3 linked regions of the Caenorhabditis elegans genome follow. The protein of the gene in region 1 purifies or fractionates together with the protein of each later gene. This does not show direct contact. Each region holds a gene or a part of one and is shown in the gene's direction. Other genes may lie near its edges.

Region 1 (7,838 bases):
TGACAGAAATCAAAAACTGAAGCTAATTTATTTTCATAACTAATCAAAGCTTTGCAAAAGATGAAACGAAAAAAAAATCAAACGCGAAAAGAACAGATAGACTGGGAGAACCCGTTCGATAGTACATTGATGACAGTTCTAGAAAATCATAAATTATTTTTGGACTTTGATAATTACATATTAAACACAAATCATGATTCGAATCGTTTTTAGGTCAACCTTGGGCAGAAGATCGCAAACGCAACATTCCATGGGATTGAGAGAAATCAAATGGTTCAAGTCAAGGTAATAAGATAAATATTTGTTGTAGGCAATTTATAATTTTAGGTTCGCGGGAAAAATGCGATTGATGGCGGATGTGCATGCGTCAATTGCAATTGTATTACAGATAAGACAAAGTTCTTCGTTATACCAAGCCTTGCAAAAGTGGTGAGTACAAAATGAGGGACGGTGTAAATACCTAACATGATTTGTTTTATGTAAAAAATAGAACAATGGTAGAGTTTTGAGAAACTTTGTGGGGTGAAAGTGAACGCCATTTCGCTAAAAAACTACAAAACTATTTTTTAAAAACTATTTAAAAAATTATATCAATAAAAACTATAAAAACTTTAAAATAAGACTATAAAATGTTTTGCAAATATTCGTAGAACTAGAAAATTATAAAAAGTTTACTCGCTATTAGTTTCAAAAAAGTTTACTTCCAAAAACGTCTACCTCGTGAATCAATTGAAAAATCAATTAAAAGTTCCTTACTTCAGAGTCACTCTGACAATGATCAAATTTTTTTCAGACTCCACCGGCACCCACTTCGCCTACTGCAGTTCATCATGAAACGCTTATACTCTCCCCTCTCCAGATTTTCTTTATTTTTACCGGAGTAGTTTCGTTGCTTCTTTTATTGGCGTTCGGATGGCTATGCTGCAACAAATATCGCAAAACAATCTTCAAACAGAAAATTGCGTTTAGTGCGCTCAAATCGTCACAGTATCCAAACAGAAAAACGAAACCAAAGAGTAAGAGATTCTAGTGGGATAATTTTAAAATTATGTTTTCAGAAGCGTTCAAAGTGATGCTAGTATGTCCCGAGGTGTCCGGTCGTGATGAAGACTTCATGATGCGTATTGCCGATGCACTGAAAAAATCTAATAACAAAGTCGTTTGCGACAGATGGTTTGAAGACTCGAAAAACGCAGAAGAAAATATGTTGCATTGGGTTTACGAACAAACAAAAATTGCTGAAAAGGTACAAAAAATTCGGCGTAATGCACACCACGTTTTTCTCATTTTCAGATCATCGTTTTTCATTCTGCATACTACCATCCACGGTGTGGTATCTATGACGTCATTAACAACTTCTTCCCGTGTACCGATCCGCGATTGGCTCACATTGCTCTCACTCCAGAAGCACAGCGAAGTGTGCCGAAAGAAGTTGAATACGTATTGCCTCGTGATCAGAAACTTCTAGAAGATGCATTTGATATCACTATCGCTGATCCACTTGTCATAGATATTCCTATCGAGGACGTGGCAATTCCAGAAAATGTGCCCATTCATCATGAGAGCTGTGACAGCATTGACAGTAGAAATAACTCAAAGACGCATAGTACAGACTCGGGTGTCTCATCATTGTCAAGTAATAGCTCACATTCAGGAGGAGATAATGAGGTCAGTAAGAGAAAAAATGTAAATGGTTAATTAACAGGAAACTTCATTTTCTAATAAATAGAATCACGATCCGAGTGTGCCTTTTTCATTTCATATCCAAAAATTTAGCAAAAAATGTAGATTAAAATTTAGTTTTTATCAGGCGCTTCGTTGTAAAAACAAAGTGTAACATCCCATCAAAAAGTGATAACTTTACCGCAATTTCTCGTGTTCAAACCCAGAAAAGACATTCTTATTGCACATGGCCGCTGAAGAAAGCCTAAGAAGATATGTAGAGTCCAATACTAGTCGTTCGGTGTTTTGTAAGTCTAGAAGAAATAATACAGAATTTTGTAGGAATAAAAAAATTTTACTCCAAAACTTTACATACTTTTCATACTTTTGATATAACTTACAATTAGAGGATTTCAAAAAAAAAATAATTTGAAAGCAAATGAATATAACTAGTACTTAAAGAATGCAGAATTTCAATTGAAGTTGCTAAAATCTAGGTTTGTCACTCATTCAAACAGACTTTGGTTATATGCACATCACGTTTCATAAACATTTACAATTTCAGACTCTGACAAGTGGTATGCCAACTCATTTGAGAGATCTAAACATCGAAGCCCATCCTCTACTTCGACAGCCCGTAGAAGTTGTGTAGCACATTTTGAACATGTGAGCCTGTACAAAAGCCATAATACTTCTCAACTACTATCATCGTCATCTCTCCGTCACCAATGATCTCTACTCAAAACGGTTATGGACGGTTTTTTTGCATAAGGATTCAACTAGCCCTACACGATTGCTTTGATCTCTGTACATTTTTGCGTTTAATATGGATATTTGCTTTTTAATGGATTTTCGATCTTCTACTTTTATTGTTGATTTTTCTGGTTTTGTGGGGGTTGTGTACAAATTTTGTTTATTTGTTGTCGGTAACCACGGGTACCATATTATGTGAATCGTTTATCATCGTATTAAATCATGTATACATGCATTGTACAGAGTTTTTGAATATAATAAATGAACATGACGTCATTTGCACCTACTTTGTGCTTTTGAACTTTCACTGTTTCAGATATTTTTTATTTATGAAAAAAGGTATCTATGAACAAGCTTTTCAATACATTATAACTTTGTTGTATCTGGTCTGATCCTCAATATTTTTGAGTCTTCAAAAGAAACAATTATAAATTGCAATACATCTCAACACTGTTTTATGGCGTCTCAAATTTTGAAAAAAAAAATTATTTTATAAAAATTGATTTGCAGCAGACATGTTGAAAACGGTGCTTTTCTTTTAAATTATTTTTGTTGTGATAATGTAATTAACTACAACTTTACATAAATTGAACTGAATATACGGGTCATTCATTTTTACAAACCTTATCTATTCTATCAATACCATGACTTTTTTCGCGAAAAGTCAGCCGACATGACATGACTCTTATCTCTTTTTTTTTTGTTAATTCTTTTTTTGTTGCGACAAATTAGTGTCAAAAAACGTGAACCCATTCGATCACATAACATTTTGAACTTCAAGAAAATCACACAATCGATAAATGATGAAGTATGGTAAGTCAAAATTTTCTAATATTCCAACTGATTAATAGTTAGTGTGTTTGAGTTTTACTTTTTCAAATTAATGTTTACATTAAAACAACTATAACAATCCTCAATTGAAATATTGTACACGAAATAAAAATCAAAACATATGTATGAACATATTTCTCTTATCTTTTTGTATTCTGTCAAAGGGGTCTAATTTTTTTGACCATTTTTTTGTCAGTTAGAACCAAATAAAATCATGCCGCATGTCTGTGAAAAATCACCTTATTCTTTCTCTTTGAGATTGATAAAAACGTTCTGTAGGTTTTCCAAAATGTTAACTAAAAAATCAAATTTAAGCCGTCGGTATAGTATTACAGGCTAGGTATAGGATGCTCGGATAATATTAATTTTAAAAATTCGAAAATGCATCATACATAAAACTTTTTAATACAAAATATAGATGTTTTCTTTTTATTTATTTATTAATATAACGTATCTATATAATTTTCAATTAAGCAATAAATATTTTTGAAGATTTGAGGATAAAACTAAGCAAATTCTAAAACTGCAATGTTCAATGAAATTGCGTTATTCAGTGTTACCTATAAAGATTTTTCAAAACGTTACTCTCTTATTCTTCTCCCATTCACGTGTTGCACTTTCTGCCAGCCGCCTTCTCGGAGAAACTAGGAAATATCTGTGACTTTCTCTAGCCACTCTCTACTCTCTCGTCAGTGCAAATAGAGCGCGAATGCTTTAAAATGACGCATCAATCACTCTGTCGGTCATTTGATTTTACACTTTTCACTGATAGCTTAAAGCTCGGAAGCGGAACTATAGTGAAACATTTTATAAATTACGATTTAGATTTTTTTGAATTCTGTATCATGCTGCCTAATTTTTAATAATTTGAATATTTTTAGGCATGGCTCAAAAGTTTGTACCGGAGGCCGCCGAGCTCTGTGAAAATTCCTTGAAAAAGTTCATATCTTTGATTGGAACAGTGGACAAGCTGCTTGTCATCTCTGGAGCAGGAATATCTACAGAATCTGGTAATCTTTCATAGTTCCGATACTCAATCGTCTAAAATTTTAGTTCCAGGTATCCCAGATTACCGCTCGAAAGATGTGGGGCTGTACGCAAGAATTGCACACAAGCCAATTTATTTTCAAGATTACATGAGGTCCAACCGTTGTAGACAAAGGTGAGGTTATGCTTGGAAAAAAGTGAAAAAAGTAAAGCTGGTTAAGAAAAAAATGTTTTCCCGTTACGATTTTTCTACTCAACAGAAATGTTTTACAAGTACATCATCAAAATAGTCCGGGCTTTTTTTTTTAAATATATCTTATTCATGGTATAATTTATGCTAGCTGAGCCTTCAAAAAATATAAAATTTCAAAACAATAATTTCATATTTTCAGATACTGGTCTCGCAATTTTTTAGCCTGGCCGAGATTTGGTCAAGCTGCTCCTAACATCAATCACTACGCACTATCGAAATGGGAAGCTTCCGATAGATTCCAATGGTTAATCACACAAAACGTGGATGGGCTTCACTTAAAGTAAAGACGGTCAAAAATGAGTTAAAATTTTTTTTTAATTCAGAGCGGGCTCAAAAATGGTAACGGAACTTCATGGCAGTGCTCTTCAAGTAAAATGTACAACATGTGATTACATTGAATCAAGGTACATTGGACTGAATCAACTCAATTATGGAAAAAAAAAAACAATTTCTCAATGAGGAATTGTTTGATAAAAGCTAAAACAAATGATGATTTACTAAAATTGAACAATCACATGTAGCGTAGAAAAAAGGATTGTTATACATATTTGGATTTAAAAAAAACGAAAAGATAACATTTTAACTAAAATGTTGAAACTTCCTCTAAAATGTATCGGTGAACTTCCTTATAACATATTTTAATTAACGTACATTCTTCCTAATTGATAATGTTTGATCATTGTAACTTCATTGACTTTTCGATTTCACTCCACTTCCTGAATGTGTGGAATGGCAGACAATCTAAGAGAGTATGGACGCCTCTTAATGTATCTAATAGGCCACTTCACATTTCGGTTTGTGAACGTAAAAATAACCGTTTATTTTATAAGGGATCTCATAAAATTAAAACGTTTCAACTTCAGACAAACGTACCAAGACCGACTTGATTACGCAAATCCTGGGTTTAAAGAAGAACACGTGGCTCCAGGAGAGCTGGCGCCAGATGGTGACATTATTCTACCGTTGGGAACTGAGAAAGTAAGTGTTTTACGGTGGAATAAGTCGAAAAATACAGTGTTTTCAGGGTTTCCAAATTCCCGAGTGCCCAAGTTGTGGGGGACTTATGAAGACAGATGTCACGTTTTTTGGAGAGAACGTTAACATGGACAAAGTCAATTTTTGTTACGAGAAAGTGAATGAATGTGATGGGATTTTATCACTTGGCACGTCGTTGGCGGTGTTATCTGGATTTCGGTTTATCCATCATGTAAGGCTAATGGGATTTACTGGATGACTTTTTTGGTTATCTAAAAACAAAAACGTTTTGATGTTTCCGTGGGTAGCACAAAAATTAACTATTTAAAAAAATTTCAAACAACTTTTTTAGATTGTTAAGAGTCCTTCAAAAATAAAAATGTAAACTTTCAGGCTAACATGAAGAAGAAACCAATTTTCATAGTCAATATAGGACCTACAAGAGCTGATCACATGGCGACGATGAAGTTAGATTATAAAATCTCTGACGTTTTAAAAGAAATGTAGACTAAGACGTGTAGTTTTGGAATTTGATAATATTGTGTTGACGACAGTTTTTTGGGTACTTTCCGTTTGTATTTTGAAACTTTTTTTTATTGTTTGAATAGAATGGCAATTTGTTTCATGTTAATTGGAATAAACAATTTTTGATGAATATGATTGTGAAAATGCGTTATTTTCAGAAAAAAAATCATCTACTCCTGCAAAAAAAGTAACAAAATTGGCAAAACAAAATCCTGGAATTAGGAGATAGACTCAAATATTTTACCAAACAGCTTTTCTATATTATGAGAATATAATCACTTTTTGTTCATCAAGGATAACTTGCTTAGTTCTTTTTTAAAGTTTATGATTCTTCTTTAGTAGTAGTTTTTTTTTTTAAATCAAGATTCCCAATGGGATGATCATTTTAAACATCGCACCATATTGCTTTGATGACATGATTTAAACTATTTCAACACCTTCGTAAGGTTAGATTTTTATTATCAATTTTGTCAAATATTTTATTTCCTCATTAAACAATTATTTTTAAAACCTTGCTATCAAAAAAATTGTGGACTTTGTTCTGTACCTAGATAATCTTCCAGCTGTTGGTTGGTCTCCCATTATTCTTTCATTTTCGGCGGACCCGCACTCTCTGCCGGCGTTTTCCTTGGCAATACAGGAAGAGGTTACTGGATTTCTCTACTCTACTCTCTCGCCTGTGCAAATAGAGCGCGATTCATCCAAAGATATATTTTTAAGGGTTTTTTGAATGAACGTGATTCAACACAATTAGCTGTAAGATCCGGACTCGAAACTCTTGTGAATAATTTTTCAATAACGTTTATGAATAAAATTAAAAAAAAAACTGTTCTTATTGTTCTTCATTATTTTCACTTGTTTTGACAATCAATTCATCTTCGACAGTATTTTAGGAATGGCACGAAAGTATGTACCACATACGACAGAGCTTTGTGAAAACTCCCTAAAAAAGTTTAAGTCACTGGTAGGGACTGTGGATAAGCTTCTCATCATCACTGGAGCAGGAATTTCTACAGAATCAGGTTTTTTTTCAGGTACAGGTACAATCAGGTACAATATAGTTTTCATTTTCAGGAATACCAGATTATCGATCGAAAGATGTCGGATTGTACACAAAGACTGCACTTGAACCAATTTATTTCCAGGATTTTATGAAATCAAAGAAATGTAGGCAGAGGTGAGAGTACTTTTGAAATTTGTTGGGCCTTACTCTTGCAATTGTGATATTTCAATTTATAAAAACTTTGTGCCAAAGACTTTGAAAAAAGGCTCATAACTGCTCTCACGTATTAATATCATTACAATTTTATAGGTTTTATGATTCAGTAACACATTTTCTTTTTGGCATGCTTAATTATCTTTTGTCTTCAGATACTGGTCTCGTAGCTACTTGAATTGGCCAAGATTTGCTCAAGCTTTACCTAACTTCAATCATTACGCCTTATCAAAATGGGAAGCTGCTAACAAATTTCATTGGTTGATCACACAAAATGTGGATGGACTTCACTTAAAGTAAGTGAAGTTAACAAAATGAAAATATTAAAATAAAAGTTAAGAGCGGGCTCGAAAATGATAACGGAACTTCATGGCAACGCTCTTCAAGTAAAATGCACATCATGTGAATACATCGAGACAAGGTAAGGAATGAAGAAAAATTGGTACTAACTGTTTTGAAATTTGAAATTTAGAACTTTATACTTGGAACAATTTTGAACCAAAACAGGTTTGTACTTGAATGGAATTGAGATAAAAATAGAATGAATGTTAGTTGTTTCAAAATTATTAATAACAAGCAGTTACATATATCTATTTTTGACATTGCTCGCGTAAATCATCTTTTATAATTTCAGAC
Region 2 (7,466 bases), on another chromosome or scaffold:
GAACTATGTCATTTATCCAATGCATAATTTCCAAATGGATGATGCTGAAATGGTACTTATCAAATGTATCATGTTCTTTTCGAGTGGTAGGTTACTGTAGAATACTTTTTGTAAATTCATTATTTCAATGAAAACAATATTTCAGAATCCGGACTAAGTGCTGCTGGACGGCAAATCGTTTCGGCGGCTCGTGAAAAATATTTATCAGCTTTATATAATTATGGGCGTGCAAATAAATGTACCACATCAGCTCAGGCAACTCTTCGAATCGCGAAATTTATGATTATGCTTTCCGCAATTACGGTATGTTTTTAGAACACATATTATTCGATTTTTTGCCAAATTACGGCACCGGGTCTCGACGCGACAATATTTTGTTTAATAGAAATAGGTGTACGCCTTTAAAGAGTACTGTAATTTCAAACTTCCGTCGCTGCAGAATTTTCTTCAGTTTTTAATAGTTCTTACACAATTTTTTTAATGTTAAAAAATGCCAAAATAAAAATCTTCTTAACCGAAAACTATGAAAAATCGGAAATAATCCACATCAACGAAAATTTCAAATTACAGTACTCTTTAAAGACGCACACCCATTTGTATTTTACAAAAAAAACGTGTCGAGACCTTTTTTGTCGCATGACTCATAATATTTTGAATTTTCAGAGTTTGACACATTTAATGAATGAAGGAGTTCATGTGACGTCACTTTTCAATATAATTGAATTTGACGAACTAATCCAAGCAACTCATAAGACGACTCCACCTCAACATTCTCCTCCAGCTCCAATGGGTTAATGTGTTAATTTCGGTTTTTGGATTCTACCTCTTTGATCTCGTTTCATATCAGAACTTGACTGTTTCATTATTTGAATGGATTATTTCTTGAAACATCCGTATATATCTTATTGAACATTTTGACGCTGTGATATCCTGTACCATAGATAAATATGTATATAATCGTTGTGTATTGCAAAAGAAAATAAATTCCTTTTTTTTAACTTATAAATAATTAAACAACAATTGAACAAGATAAATAATGAGAATTCAAACAGCCTTTTTAACAAATTCGACACTTTTCGATGGATCCGTTGGAAAATATTCTTGCATTTTGGTCATCAGTCGTTTGAACGCCTATAATGTTTAAAAGTTGAGATTTTCAAAAGAATATGGAAATTCTAACCTGAATGTACTTTCTCTGAGTTTCATCATTCAGTACGTGAGCAATATTACTGACATATGATTTTGCAGATCCAGGACGTTGATGAATACCAGAACGAGTTACTCCAACTGGCCAAGGTGCATTTCCGATGGCCATTTCCATATAGGCATTATTTGCTTCCAAATAATTTCTATCAATTACTAGCAATCTGAAATATATATTAAACAACCGAAAATAAAGAAAATTTAAGAATTTTTTCATACACATTGCAGTTTAATTTTTGATTTTTTTTTGGTATAGTATTTGAATTTCTGAAAATCTCAAAAATTCGATAAACAGAGAAAGGTTTTAGTGAAAAAATAAATGTTTTAAATATATGATTATACTTTTATTATTCAAACGCGGAATTTCGAAAAAAATTTTTTAAATGTCTCTAATTTTGAATACCTATGTACCTATTAAATTTTTACGAGTTCTTTCCATCAAATTTCATGCCAATTTACCGAGTTTTCTCTTTTCGTGTAAGTTTTTTTTTTTTGAAAAATGGTTTTTTCGTGTCAATTGAATATTTTATTTTCTCAAAATTCGCAGATCCGCTTATTTTCACATCACAATTGGACAGAAATCCAACTCTGGAATTTTCATGATAATAAAATGCTTAATTGGCACGGAATCAAATTTGGAGCCATTTTAAAACTCCATATTTAAATTAGTTTTTTTTTTGCTCAGCTACATTTGAAAACCCCGGAAATTTCCAATTACAAGATAATTTTCGCATTTTGAATAAAATTAGTTTATTTTTTAAGTGAATTTCGATGAAAATTATAATGTTGAATCAAAAAATAACCTACTAACCTACAAATCTTGGCCAAATGATGCCGAATATCATTATTACAGTTGTATCTTTCCATTGAAGTCATTAAACTTTTAAGATGCATCATTGTTTGCTTGTGATGGGCTGCTTCATGCATACCTATTGAAAATATAAACATTTAATACACTTTTTTTTTAATTTATTGTACCTTGTGCTGTCTTTTTTACATCCAGTGGCCTATCGTTCAGATCCTTAGCCCATCTTGCGAGTATATAACGGCAAATTGAAAGAATAATATCACAATCTCGTTTCAAATCGTCATCTATAAAAAGTAATATAGTTTCGAGAAATTATTTCAAATCTCATACCGACGCTCAAAAGAGTTGAATTATGTTCGATATTTTTCCAATTATCTTCTTCATATCCTTGTGGAAGAGCAATATCATGTCGTGTTGCACTATCAGCTGTACCTTCAACCACTGCCTGCAATATTTCATTTCATGAAATTTGAATTAATGTTATTTTTAACCTTATCCATTTCTTTTCCGATAACTTTCATTGCTGTTTGTAATTCATTTTCCCATCCTTCATTGAGATCAGGTTGAGCAAGTTCTAACTGATGAAGGCGTTTACGCACATCAATATCAGTTTCACCTGAAAATTAATTTTTTTAAATACGATTTTGGAAAATGCCAAACCGAAAAGCATAATTGGGTGATTTCGCTGGCGAAGACGTGTTTGAATTTCCGACATTGGTGTTTTTTCATCAATCTCTGATTCGTTTTCCACGGGCGCGGGTTTAGTTCGACTGGATGATTCTTGAAGTATCTCGTCGTCAACTTTCTAAATGATGTCTTTTATAATGATTTACTATATGATAATTTAATTGCAAATATTATTCAGCAATACCTAATCCTTCTTTATTAGTGTCAGAAAATTTTATAAGACAAATTCCTACAACGAAGTTTTTAAAAGAAAACTTACTCGTTTCTTACTAGCTATTTCCTGCTGTTTTCTTTCGTATTCCTGATTTCTTTTCATTTCTAAATCAGCGCCTTTGACAAACTTTGCGTTTCCTTCTTTTACTTCCATTCCAGACACGGCTTTTCGTTTTTTTGCCATTTCAGCAAGTAGTTTTGCTTTGAAATCCATTATCTGAAGAAATAATAATAGAAGCATTGATTTAAAATAAAGTAAAAAAAGAAACTAACGGAATAAAGGAAAAAATGGAAACCGGATGAAAATCGTCAATTTAAGATTTTTATTCGAAAATGAAGAAAATAGAGAGACAGAAAATGAGAGACGCAGACAGCGCAATGCAAACACGCTCGATTGAGAAAAGTTTATTTTATTGCTGAAACATGCTCCACATCCGCTTTCTGCTCTTTTTCTTGATATCTTTTTAATTGAGACATCTTCCCAATATGTTTTTATTTTCAGATGCTTGGTGTATTCCAAAAACGATGTGCCTCAACTGCCCCTCTAATTCGTCCCATTCAACGGGTTTTAGTTGCAAATCGTGGAGAAATCGCCATTCGCGTCCAAAATACCGCTCGTAAAATGGGAATTGAGACAGTTGCTGTTTTTTCTGACGCAGACCGTAATTCCCTCTTTGTTAAAAAAGCTGACAAGGTAAGAATCCATAGTATTCGTGAAGTGTTAAACTGAATTTAATGTCAGGCATACCACATCGGCCCTCCTCTTGCAGCGGAAAGTTATCTGAATATGGACAAAATTATCAACAGTGCATTGCGATCTGGAGCACAAGCTATTCACCCAGGATACGGTTTCCTATCTGAAAATGCTGGATTCGCTGAAAAATGTGCTCAGGCCGGCCTTGTTTTTATTGGACCACCAGCCCAAGCTATCAGGGATATGGGAGCCAAGAATGTATCGAAGCAAATCATGGAAGATGCTAAAGTTCCTGTAGTAAAAGGATTCCACGGAGAAGATCAATCAGATGCTAATTTGAAAAAGAAATCAGCAGAAATCGGTAATTTTTTAAAGTATAGCCCCACATAAATTTATTTAAAATTTCAGGCTACCCGGTTATGCTGAAGGCTGTCTATGGTGGAGGTGGAAAAGGAATGAGAATTGCGTGGAACGAGGCTGAATTCGAAGAAAAACTGGCTTCAGCTCGTAACGAAGCTAAGAAGTCGTTTGGAAACGATGAAATGCTCGTGGAAAAGTTTGTCGAGAAGCCGAGACACGTTGAAGTACAAGTTTTCGGAGATCACCATGGAAACTATGTTCATTTATGGGAAAGAGATTGCTCCGTTCAAAGACGTCATCAGAAAATTATTGAAGAAGCACCAGCGCCAAATATGGGTAAGTCAGTCTCGTGAAAAAGTTTTAAATGAGATTTAATGTTTTTGCAGAACATGATACTCGTGTAAAACTCGGAGAATCAGCTGTTCGTGCTGCGGCGGCTGTGGGATATGTTGGAGCAGGTACCGTCGAGTTCATCATGGACCCGCGTGGCGAATTCTACTTTATGGAAATGAACACTCGGCTTCAAGTCGAACATCCCGTCAGTGAAGCTATCACAGGTATAGATTTTATAATGGGAGATTGGAAATTATCAAATAATTTGATTTCAGGCACGGATCTTGTTGAATGGCAATTACGGGTAGCTCAAGGAGAGAAGCTTCCACTGAAACAATCAGAAATTCCATTAAACGGTCATGCATTTGAATGTCGTGTGTATGCCGAGGATACTCGTAAAGGAGCATTCATGCCAACTGCGGGACGTCTTAATTATGTTGACTTCCCGGAAGATGCTAGAATCGATACAGGAGTTGTTTCTGGAGACGAAGTATCAATCCATTACGATCCTATGATTGCTAAGGTAAGTATTTCAGAACAGCTTCTAAACAATCATCTCCTTTTCTAGGTGGTAGTGTGGGGCCAGGATCGTGCTGTTGCTGCTGCAAAATTGGAAAGTGCTTTGGCTCGTACAAGAATCTCAGGGCTACCCACAAACATTGACTTTGTCCGCAGAGTTCTTGCTCATCCTGAATTTGCCGCAGGAAATGTTTATACCGATTTTATCCCTGATCACCAGAAGGAACTATTTGCTGAATCTGAAACTCCTGCTGAAATTTACGTTGAGTCGGCTGTAGCACATGCTTTGGCTGCCCTTCAAAAATCAGATGCAGGTGTCTTCCAGAATTTATCTTTCTTTAGAATGAATTTGTCACCAAAATACATTTTCAAAATAGGTAACGCGTTTAGTTTGATAAAGAAAAATAAATAGCTTAAATTCAGACGGAAAAGATGTCAGCATTAGATTTGATTCTGATAGTCGCCTGACAGTGTCTTATGATGGCAACAGTTATGAAACACTTCTCAACGACATTGAATCAACCACAGACGGATCTTTCAAGTTTACATTGGAAGCTAATGGCAGGCGCTGGAGTACTGTCGTTAAAAATCTAGGAAATAGTTTGATGGTAAGTTTGTGTCTCAACAAATCATAGTTTTGAAAAGTTAACTTTAAGGTGAATGGAGTTGGTCAAAACGAATATGAAACTCCACAAATCCATGAAACATTTGATTCGTTATCCGGAGGAGCAGCCAGTCATTCTGCCGTCGCACCAATGCCAGGAATTATTGAAAAAATTCTTGTGAAGCCTGGAGAGCAGGTATGTACAAGTACATGCCGAAAAATTAAATAACTCAAAGTTTAGGTAACTACAGGCCAAGCACTCGTAGTGATGACAGCAATGAAAATGGAATACATCATTCGTGCCCCGGAAGACTCAACTGTTGAACACATTAAGTGCCAGGCAGGCAAAAATGTTCCAAAAAATGCAGTTTTGGTTCAATTCGCATAGGCATTACCTTTATTTTTGGTTTTTTCTCTTAGGTTTTATAGCTATATCCGGTATTTTCAGAGCTTTTCAATTTTTCTTACAACACCCTTTGACAGTTTCAAGTGTAATTAATTTTGAGTACGGTTGTGCAGCTCAGATATTTTTTATGTGCCTTTACCTAGAAATAAAATTATGTGAATATATTCAATCAATCGTTCATTCGGAAAAGCTCAAGTATATTCCAATTATTTTGGAGATGAATTGAAAGTTCCTTCTCTTTTACGGATCAATTTCTGGGCATCTCTCAATACATCATTCCTGTCCTTATGAAGCTCAGACATATTCACTTCCGCATCCTTTTCATCACTGTTGGCACCTTCAGTCGTCAAATACTTCAGAGCGACATTCTCAATATCATCTAAACGATCTCTTCTATCATTCTCTATTTGTTGTTCCATGTAGTTCTTAGCTTCAAATTGCTGCTTGTTGCGATCATTAAGCTTCAATCGTAACATCCTTTGTCTGTATCTTTCTCTTGCTTTTTCCCAACGATATGCATATTCGTTCATTTTTTCTTCATTTTTTCCAGTCTGTTCTTCATTTTTTCCAGTCTGAACAATTTTCAACAATATGGTTGATTTGTATTTTGAACACTTACAAGTCTAAATTCATAGCTCAACATCATTTTACTGCCTTTTTGATTTTTGCTTGCAGATTGGAACACATCAACGTCAGGATTTTTCCATTCACTGGCCAGCTTTGAACATTTTTCCGGATTATTGATTTTAACTTCATCAATCTGGAAATAAACATCTCAAAGCCTTACGATCTTTATCTACAAACCGCGAAAAATTCTCCAGTCACTTCTTCCCATTCTCCTGTGAATCGTTCTTCAAGATCATCTTCAGAAAGTTCCACCTCTTCAAATGTGTACTTTGAAGTCGGTGTATCTTCTGATAACGATTGAATTCCTTTGAGGATATTGAACATCATACTGAATATGAAATATTTATCAATGAAGAATTTTCAGTAGTTTCAAGCTGTATAAACTTTTAAAAAAGTATCCATGTAAAAATATAATTTATTATTCGATTATTCAAACTGTCCACTGTCAACAGTGTTACTCCCGAGATGAATACGGTAGCCGGTCTCGACACGACTTTTGTTGTTAAATGCGAATAGGTACGAAGAGTACTGTAAAGTAAAATTTTCATTGCTGCGAAATTTTCACATTAAAAAAAGGGAACACATAAATTTCAACAAATAGAGAAAAAATATGAAAATTCGAAGAAAAATTGCGCACACAATTACTCAATTTTTCGTGTCGAGACCGGGTACCGTATTTTCGACACAAAAAAGGAAAAATCTAATGTTTAGCTAATATTAGAAAAGTAAAAGTTGAAACTGGAAACCTACTGATAGTTTGGTCTTTGCAAGGCTCTACACTCAAGCAGATGCTCGAAAAATCTCTCCATCGTTTTTGGCATTTTCATCAGAGCCACACCCATATTCATTTTTTGTCGTGCGAGAATCATATGATCTTTCACTCCATGCCATGGAAGACGATCATTCAAATCAACCAATGTGAACAGAAGTGACCATAGATCATCTTTTCGGCCAAGTTTGTATCCCAGATGAGCATTTGAAGATGTAAAGTTCAGAGATCCACGGAATTGCA
Region 3 (8,600 bases), 5.7 Mb from region 1:
TTTTGCCAAGAGAAAAGCAAAAGTTGCTATAATTGACGTGAACAAGGTATGAATGCCAAAAATGATTCACCGTTTTGAATAAAACATTAAGGAAGGAGGGCTGGAGACGGTGAAAACCATTGCGGCAGAGGGGAATATGGCCAAGTTTTGGTATTGCGATATAAGTGATGTGGACAATATGAAAAAGACGGCAAAAGAAATTGAAGACACATTTGGTATTTTTAAATTAAAAATGAGGCATTTGAGGAAGATTAGATTTAGGTGACGTTAATATTGTGATCTGTAATGCTGCAATCTTATCCTTCACATCATTCATGGAGATTTCGGATGAGCTGCTCAGAAAGTGTCTTGACGTTAACATTTTTGGTACAATTAATGTAAGTTTGCTTAAGATGAAAATTTTAAAATATAAACAAAGTATCAATACTTATAGTTAGCATTTTAAAAATATGGTGAGAAAATAACAAAAAATGAAATCGATATTGTTTTAAGGAGCAGTATTAAAGCAAAATTGTTTTTCTGGCATGAAACGCAAAGTTTCATAACAAGGATGCTAAAAAACCTAAATTTTTTATGGTAAATCAAAATAACAAAGAAGTATCGAATGAGCTCAGATTCAGTTTTTTTTTTTTCAATAAACACGTTCTTGTGCTTTTATAATATTAGTCATTTTAAACGCTTCAACATGACTCTGATATGTCCGAAAGTTTTTTAGACGTAGCAAATTTAGTGTCAGTTTTTTCGGGGTATTTTCAGTCAATTAAAGCAAACATTTAATAACTTTAATCCGTTTGTTCTATGTTTATTATTTGAACTTCCTAAAACTTTCCTAAAACTTAAAACTAGTCAAAAAATTTTTTTTGAGAACTTAAAAAATTGAAAAACAAAAAAAATATATATTTTCGACAGACCAAATGAGTTTAATTGAACTTTATTTGTGTTTCAAAACATACTTCAATAAACAAATCAAGATATTATTCTTTGTACTCGTTGAAAAACATTTACGTATCAGAACATGTTTGGAGTCGAAGTTTGGTTTTTTATAAAATTTGGTACGGACACTGAATTAGTACCACGTGTTTTCTATTTTTAATTTTTATCGTATCAGACAATTCGAGCTTTCCTCCCAAAAATGGAAACCAAGAACGACGGACACATTGTTTGCGTTTGCTCAATTGCTGGGTGGTCTGGTGAAACGATGGGACTTTCTTACTGGTAATTTAATGTTCCAAAGTTTTTGTTTTAAACTTTAACAGTTACTTCAGCACTAGCAAATTTGCGGTTCGCGGAGCTATGGAATCCTTACAAATGGAGCTCAGAGATCGCGGATTAGAGGGTATCAAAACAACTACGGTTGGTTGTTGCTAAATTATTGGCTAGAGATATTCTCGTTTTCAGCTCTACCCATATTTTGCAAGAACCCCAATGATTTTGGAAAATAATATGAGACCTACATGTACATGGTTCCCGTTCATGAGCATTCGGTCTTGCTCGAAAAGAATGGTAGATTCTATTTTGAAAGAAAAAGTGCACGCTTTTGTTCCCTCGTACATCACACTCATCCCTTTTGTGAAAAAGTAAGTTTCTCGGTTTCGTTATTTTGGTTTCCATGGTGAATTTTTATTAAGAACATTTGTTTTGAATTGTAGATGAAATCGGCATATTTAAAAATAATTAAAGTACTTTTTAAGTGTCAATATTCATGTGCTACTTATTAAAATGGCGAAAAATTAAAAATCAATGCCCTGTTTTCGCGTCTTATTATTATTTTTTTGAGAACTGTACAACTTTTCGTATTCGCAAAAAGAGCTGCCCGAATTGTTTTTCTGTCTGCGTCTAGTTTGTCTTTACACGCTCTATTATTGAGGTCACCATTGGTGTCCTTATTGATTCAGATAGTATCTCCTCTATTACACGAAGACACCCCTTCTTCTATCGTTTGAGAGAATCAAAAAAAAAAGAAACCAACTATTCATCTCCACTTACTTTTTGATTCTCGTACACTATGTAGAATATAGCCAACTAATGATAACATGATAAAATCTAATTTTTTATTTCAGTTTCTGCTCTCTTCAAGTGTGCCGGTCGCTTCGTAATTATTTGGGTGTTAAGTATTCCGCTTCAGATCCATCATTTTGCAAACTGACACTTATTGAAATGTCGGACTATTACAAAACTCCACAACTCTTCTGGTGGCTCCTCATTGTTCCAGCTCTGGCTATCAACTACGTAAGTTTTAAGGTTTCAAGTGAAAAAAAACTATGTTTGATAAAAATAGATATTTCAAAGCTTCCACTTCGATCTATATCTTTGATTTTTAGATTTCTTACGCCCATCCAGCAGCAGCACTTAATATTCCATTAATTGGATCTCTCGTCCATAAGATTGGAACTGAGTATCCATTTGTTGCTCTTTTAACCAACCTTTTCGCCCTTGTAGCACACGCCGGTGAAGCTCTTTACGCTCTTTATCTCTGCCATAAAGCCAATATCAGGTGAACTTTTTCAGTTGATTTTATAACAAATTGTATTTTCAGTTTTGCTTCTACCGCAAAATGGGTTGTCCAAACGTTTATTCTTGGTTTCCCGTCACTCTCTATTCTCAGTCGATACGAAGCCAAGCAGAGGAAGAATAATTGACTAGTAGTTGAAAATGTGTCTGATAGTTCCTAAAATGTATTAATTTTGTTTTTTTTTGCCAATGCAATGAACGACCATTTATTATCAAATAAAATGAAGAAACTCAACGAAACATTCTCAAATAAACAACATGTCGAGAGAAAGGCCAGTGTGTGCAAAGACGCAGAGAAGATCACTGCAAACGCGCTCCGTTGAGGTTGCTGTGTGAGATATCTTGGACAACCCCGCGCATTATTGGACTGTTTTTTGTTGTTTTATTGATCATGTAGTGGTCAATGAGCAGGTCATTCTTGCCTTCGCTGTTGCCAGAGAAGGTCGGCTTTTTTCTTCCCTGTTTTTGGTGATTTTGCCGTTTTTTTTTGTGTATTGAGTGTACTTACTGTGTGAGTCTTTAGATTTTCCGTTTCACGCATACACGTTTTTTGTAAAATTATTAGTTTTTGTAGGACTCTCGGTTCAAAAATTATAGAAAACGTGCAGACTGGACTATGAATTATATTCGAAGTTCTTCATTGTAACATTGTGAGGTCGTCTTTCCAACTCTCAACCTATCCCGGTGATTTTCTCGGTTTCTCTGCGTGTGTGTGTTCAGAGGACGAATACGTGCAAAATCGCAAGAAATGGGCAAAGAGAGAGAGCGGGGCAACTGCGCTTTGGGTCCATCAGAAAAGAGAGATAGACAACTTTTGTGAAAATCTTGTTGCGGGACAAGGGCACCGCACTTCTTGCTTTTCTCTTTTCTGGCCAGGCTATTTACTTCGTTGCTCAGTTGCCATTTCTGCATGTTTTTCTTATTTTTTCTACTAGTCGAAGTTTTCCTTCATAATCAATATAAAGAGAGTTTTCAAGGCATCGCTGTTTATCACTTAACTGACCAAATCAAATCGGTCGTCCTTATCTTTCTCCATCGAAGTTATACACGAAACTGTTTTTCTCCATCATCTTACTTTTTTCTTTTGTGAACTGCTGATGTCGTTGTTCATTTTATCATGAAAATCATTGTTTTTAGGTTGAACCATGCTCCGTGCTGCATCCAGTATCCGCGCTGTGGCCAATCGTGGATTGGCAACTGCTGCTGTTGCCAGACCAGGAGTGTAAGTTTCTGAAAGTTGTATTCGGTTTTGAGATCAATAGGTTCAATTTCAGACCACTTGATGAACGTGAGGGAAAGGAGATTTACACTACTGTAGGAATCGATTACAATGAGCCAAAGTTCGACAAGATTTTGATTGCCAATAGAGGTAATCTCAAGCATCTAAAAGAATCTTAGATTTAATCGTCTATTTTACAGGAGAGATTGCGTGTCGCGTGATCAAAACTGCCAGAGCTATGGGAATCAAGACAGTGGCCGTTCACTCAGATGTCGACAGCAACTCGCTTCACGTAAAGATGGCCGATGAGGCTGTATGTGTTGGAGAAGCTCCAACTGCCAAATCCTACCTACGTGCTGACCGCATCTTGCAAGCTGTCGAGGACACCGGTGCTCAAGCGGTAAGAATTCTAACGTGTCTATGTAATGGAAGGATAAACCGCAAAAATCAAATATCAGAGGAGAATGTAAATTCTGTGGCATGAATCTACATGCACAGTAGCACAAACATATTACCCAGACATCCGACAGAGAATAGAGTTTTTGCAAAAGTTCAGAACACCGCTCCAAATCAACTACTACTGTTCAAGAAGTCAGAGCGTTCGCGCTTAACTTCAAACGGAGAGAATAGCTTAAAAAAGTTGCTGACTGAAAAAATGTGAAATAAAACATTCCCTACATTTTGATAATGCTCAATTTTTTCATGCTCATATCACCTGGCTGAGATATGAGGGTTTGAAGTGATGAAGCTCTAGAGTTCCCTCTTATGGCCTGTTGAAAACTGTGGTGAGGTCAAATTATGAAAAGCACGAATTACCGCATTTTTCAGAGGACAAGCTAGGGTCAAACAGTTTGACAACCCGAGCGAGAGCTTTTGGCTGTGTAGCAGCTTAAGATTTACCGTAATATATTAGAAACCAGTTACTTGTAATATGCACGTGATATTCACCTACTTTCACTACGAAACACAACAAAACAAAAATTCTGTGACAAGTGACCAAGTGGTCTCTTTCCAGTCTCTAGCATCTCGCGTGTTTCATTTTCAAATAGTCAAAGTCAAATGACGAGAGATAGATTGCAAGTGTCTTCTGTTATGTTTTTCAAACAGAACTGCTAAAAACGTTGAAAACATATATTTGCAGGTTCATCCAGGATATGGATTCCTTTCCGAGAACACCAAGTTTGCCGCCGAGCTTGAGAAGGCTGGAGCCAAGTTCATCGGACCAAACTCTAAGGCTATTCTTGATATGGGAGACAAGATTCATTCAAAGAAAATCGCTACCGCAGCCCGTGTCAGCATGATTCCAGGATATGACGGAGAAATTGCTGATGAGGATATGTGCGTGAAAGTCTCCCGCGACATTGGATACCCAGTCATGATCAAGGCTTCTGCCGGTGGTGGTGGAAAAGGAATGCGAGTTGCCTGGAACGACAAGCAAGCTCGTGAAGGATACCGTTTGTCCAAGCAAGAAGCAGCTTCTTCTTTCGGAGATGATCGAATGCTCGTTGAGAAGTTCATTGACAACCCACGGCACATTGAGATGCAGGTGCTCTGCGACAAGCATGGAAACGCTTTGTGGCTCAACGAGCGTGAATGCTCCATTCAGAGAAGAAACCAGAAGGTTATCGAAGAGGCTCCAAGCAGCTTTGTGCCACCAGAGATGAGACGCAAAATGGGAGAACAGGCCGTTCAGCTCGCCAAGGCTGTCGGTTATGACTCTGCTGGAACCGTCGAATTCCTCGTTGATTCTCAGAGAAACTTCTACTTCTTGGAGATGAACACTCGTCTTCAGGTAATATCTCAGTATGGCCTAAATGTTTAATTTTTAAATACTCACAGGTCGAGCATCCAATTACCGAGTGCATCACTGGAATCGATATTGTCCAACAGATGCTTCGCGTTTCCTACGGTCACCCACTTCCAATCACCCAAGAGCAAGTGCCACTCAACGGATGGGCTTTCGAGTCTCGTGTCTACGCCGAGGATCCATACAAGGGATTCGGTCTTCCATCAGTCGGACGTCTCTCCAGATATGTTGAGCCAAAACACGTCGACGGAGTTCGTTGCGACTCTGGAATCCGTGAGGGATCGGAAATCTCTATCTACTACGATCCACTTATCTGCAAGGTAAAGGATAAATTAGCATTTAGATAATTTCAAGTGACTTACTTTGTAATTTCAGCTCGTTACGCACGGAGACAACCGTGAACAGGCTCTGAACCGCATGCAAGAGGCTCTCGACAACTACGTCATTCGTGGAGTCACTCACAACATTCCACTTCTTCGTGATATTGTCCAAGAGAAGAGATTCCGTACTGGAGACATTACCACCAAATATCTTCCAGAAGTGTACCCAGAAGGCTTCCAGGGAACCAGCCTCTCACCAAAAGAGCAAGACGTTGTCATTGCCTTTGCCTCGGCTCTCAACGCTCGTAAACTTGCTCGTGCCAATCAATTCTTGAACCAGAACAAACAACGTAGCACTCATGTGGCTTCCTTCTCGAAGACCTACAAGTTCGTGTCTTCTCTGCCAGTGAAGGAGGGTGAGAGGCCAACCGAGCACGCTGTTGAAGTCGAATTTGTCGAAGGAAGCGCCAACAAGGCCCAAGTTCGTATTGGTGGAAAGACTGTGACTATCAGTGGAGATCTCAACTTGTCTCATCCAGTCAACTCAATTGAAGTCGATGGAGAGCACATCACCACCCAAATTGTTGGCAAGCGCGCCGGAGAGATCACCGTTCTTTACAAGGGAACTCCATTCAAGGTCAAGGTGCTTCCAGAGCAGGCCGTCAAGTACTTGCAGTACATGAAGGAGAAGGCCAAGGTTGACTTGTCCACAGTTGTGCTCTCACCAATGCCAGGAGCAATCAAGAACGTCAACGTTAAGGTAACATTATTTTATCACTACCATTAGATGTGCTAAAACTGATTCAATTTACAGCCAGGAGATATGGTTTCCGAGGGACAAGAGTTAGTTGTCATGGAGGCTATGAAGATGCAGAACAGTCTTCATGCTGGAAAGACCGGACGCGTCAAGGCCGTCAATGTGAAGGTTGGAGCCACAGTCGACGAGGGAGAGGTGCTCGTTGAGCTCGAGTAGATTATTCTCACTGAACCTGAATTTTTTTTGTTGTTTTAATTACCGTTTTTTTCCTAATTTTGTACAATTCAAAGCCGCCACTATCTGGTATGGAGATTGATAATTTCATTCGCAGTTTCTCAAATTTCAAGCCATATTTATATTTTATTTTTGATGCCATTACCCTCACCTGTTGTATTCCAATCATCACGGACGTATTTCTCAGCCACCACCCTGTTTTGTTGCCCCAAGTATTATGTAGTGAATAAATATTGTAGAAGGCATTGCAAAAAGGTTGTTATATGAAGAAAAAAAAGCATTTGCTCATTTTTTGAACTTTTCAATTAGAAAATTATATATCTATTCTGTTTCTACATAACATAAGTGCAGATGTTTTGTTGATTAAATTTTCTATTTTTTGTGAAATAGCTTGTGTAAACTAAACATTTTACCATAGTCCATAATTGAAGCTCGGAAATAAGCGTTGTGAAAAAACTTGTCAGTTTGCAAATCTGTTTTAAAAATTTCAGATTTCTCTTTTTTATGTTCTTCTTTCATGTATCTCAATTTCAAAATATTGAATAGCAGTGCCAATTGATTATTCTGAAAGAAAATTGACAAAAAGACGAGTTGAGACGAGAAGATGAAACAGAAAATGATGGGAAGAAGAAAAAGAAGAATTTTTCTTCCAGTTTTTTTTGCCGTTTTCTGTTCTTTTCAATCTCATTTTAACTCACGTTTTTTGGTTTCGTGTGAGTAGTGTCACACTGATATTGTTAAATTCTGTTAACTTCTAGTTGAGAAAATAAATAATGTCAATATTTTAATAAAACTTACTTGTAGCACTTTCAGATCTGTAAGATGTCTAGTATCGGTATAAGTAGATACGAAGACGGGGAAGAGAACTGTTGCACAGCCTGCCTTGAATTTATGCATGAACGGAGGAGCCCACCATCATGCGAACACAATTGTGTTGCATGTTTTTATTGTAAGTATAGATTTGATTTTTTTTTGAGTTGAAGCTTGATTATCAATAAAACGAAGTGCTAGTTGAAGTTTTAAACAGTTTAAATCTAACTTTTTCGAAAAAGTGGGTGAGACCCGTCCCTTTCCAATATGTGTTAAATTGATTTCAAATTAAAAAGAGAAGTTTGTTGTATTATAGTATTTAGTCTTGTTATTTTTTTAAAGATGAAAATAGGATCAACAAATGAAAAGGGTTTTGTCATGACTCAGTATGTTCTACACTCTAACCCAAATTGTTTTATATGATGAATGCTTGTTTTGTTTTCAGTATTAATTGCTCGACGAACCAATTGTTTGATTTGCAACGTGACAATATACGAGATTGAGCGCATCTTCAAAGATTTGAGGAGCAGGGTGAATATTGAAGCTAATAGAATGAATTGACTGTAATTGAAAATGAAAATGTGTTCTTATATGTGCATCTTCTGTGTATCACTGTTTTAATACAATAATACAGATTTTTCTGTCACGTGGAATTCTATACTTGAAGAGAAAAGCTAAACGGTGGACTTTGTTGAAACTATTTTGAGCTAAATATCGTATTCAAAATCGTAGGGAGTTCTTCTTTCACATATTATCCTTGCATTACTAAATCAGAACTCCCAAAATTGAAGTTCTCGTGAACGTCTGTTCCATTCAAGTTGTTTCGTACTAGTCAGAAACATAAAACTATTGTCGGAGCCCAAAAGGATTTTTGTTGTTGTAGGAGGCGGTACCATGAACGAAGGTACCACCTTTGTAAACTTTCAGCTATATATTTCAGAC

Evidence for each region. Proteins that work in one complex are often made in the same cells at the same time.
Region 2: the proteins of sir-2.2 (region 1) and mccc-1 purify together in Caenorhabditis elegans (affinity purification with western blotting, with the first as the bait; one study listed by BioGRID). This does not show direct contact.
Region 3: the proteins of sir-2.2 (region 1) and pcca-1 purify together in Caenorhabditis elegans (affinity purification with western blotting, with the first as the bait; one study listed by BioGRID). This does not show direct contact.

What each region holds. Positions count from the first base shown.
Region 1 is NC_003284.9:13,325,135-13,332,972, forward strand, and holds sir-2.2 (NAD-dependent protein deacylase sir-2.2), read left to right. Parts: upstream 1-3,215; coding exon 3,216-3,228; intron 3,229-4,127; coding exon 4,128-4,256; intron 4,257-4,299; coding exon 4,300-4,408; intron 4,409-4,625; coding exon 4,626-4,766; intron 4,767-4,809; coding exon 4,810-4,890; intron 4,891-5,349; coding exon 5,350-5,464; intron 5,465-5,510; coding exon 5,511-5,693; intron 5,694-5,854; coding exon 5,855-5,968; downstream 5,969-7,838. Other genes in the region: F46G10.2 (ILCR1 Ig-like domain-containing protein), read left to right, coding at 214-285, 328-429, 794-1,016, 1,059-1,246, 1,294-1,668, 2,228-2,314; NAD-dependent protein deacylase sir-2.3, read left to right, coding at 6,882-7,008, 7,061-7,163, 7,358-7,498, 7,543-7,623, 7,837-7,838. UniProt on the Caenorhabditis elegans protein: NAD-dependent protein deacylase. Catalyzes the NAD-dependent hydrolysis of acyl groups from lysine residues. Plays a role in oxidative stress resistance.
Region 2 is NC_003282.8:9,881,157-9,888,622, forward strand, and holds mccc-1 (Methylcrotonoyl-CoA carboxylase subunit alpha, mitochondrial), read left to right. Parts: upstream 1-3,413; coding exon 3,414-3,605; intron 3,606-3,653; coding exon 3,654-3,966; intron 3,967-4,013; coding exon 4,014-4,301; intron 4,302-4,351; coding exon 4,352-4,522; intron 4,523-4,573; coding exon 4,574-4,821; intron 4,822-4,866; coding exon 4,867-5,194; intron 5,195-5,240; coding exon 5,241-5,425; intron 5,426-5,473; coding exon 5,474-5,617; intron 5,618-5,662; coding exon 5,663-5,809; 3' UTR 5,810-5,989; downstream 5,990-7,466. Other genes in the region: Nuclear hormone receptor family member nhr-4, read left to right, coding at 1-86, 146-303, 664-795; prp-18 (Pre-mRNA-splicing factor 18), read right to left, coding at 1,045-1,131, 1,181-1,367, 2,015-2,132, 2,182-2,295, 2,342-2,456, 2,503-2,627, 2,672-2,816, 2,958-3,125; ttbk-3 (non-specific serine/threonine protein kinase), read right to left, coding at 6,034-6,399, 6,447-6,587, 6,632-6,782, 7,205-7,466.
Region 3 is NC_003284.9:7,656,035-7,664,634, reverse strand, and holds pcca-1 (Propionyl-CoA carboxylase alpha chain, mitochondrial), read left to right. Parts: upstream 1-3,648; 5' UTR 3,649-3,656; coding exon 3,657-3,733; intron 3,734-3,785; coding exon 3,786-3,880; intron 3,881-3,930; coding exon 3,931-4,130; intron 4,131-4,871; coding exon 4,872-5,522; intron 5,523-5,569; coding exon 5,570-5,857; intron 5,858-5,912; coding exon 5,913-6,617; intron 6,618-6,671; coding exon 6,672-6,830; 3' UTR 6,831-7,123; downstream 7,124-8,600. Other genes in the region: dhs-29 (NADP-retinol dehydrogenase), read left to right, coding at 1-46, 92-215, 262-377, 1,109-1,215, 1,266-1,353, 1,399-1,577, 2,061-2,229, 2,322-2,494 and 1 more; F27D9.12 (RING-type domain-containing protein), read left to right, coding at 7,671-7,797, 8,104-8,219. UniProt on the Caenorhabditis elegans protein: This is one of the 2 subunits of the biotin-dependent propionyl-CoA carboxylase (PCC), a mitochondrial enzyme involved in the catabolism of odd chain fatty acids, branched-chain amino acids isoleucine, threonine, methionine, and valine and other metabolites.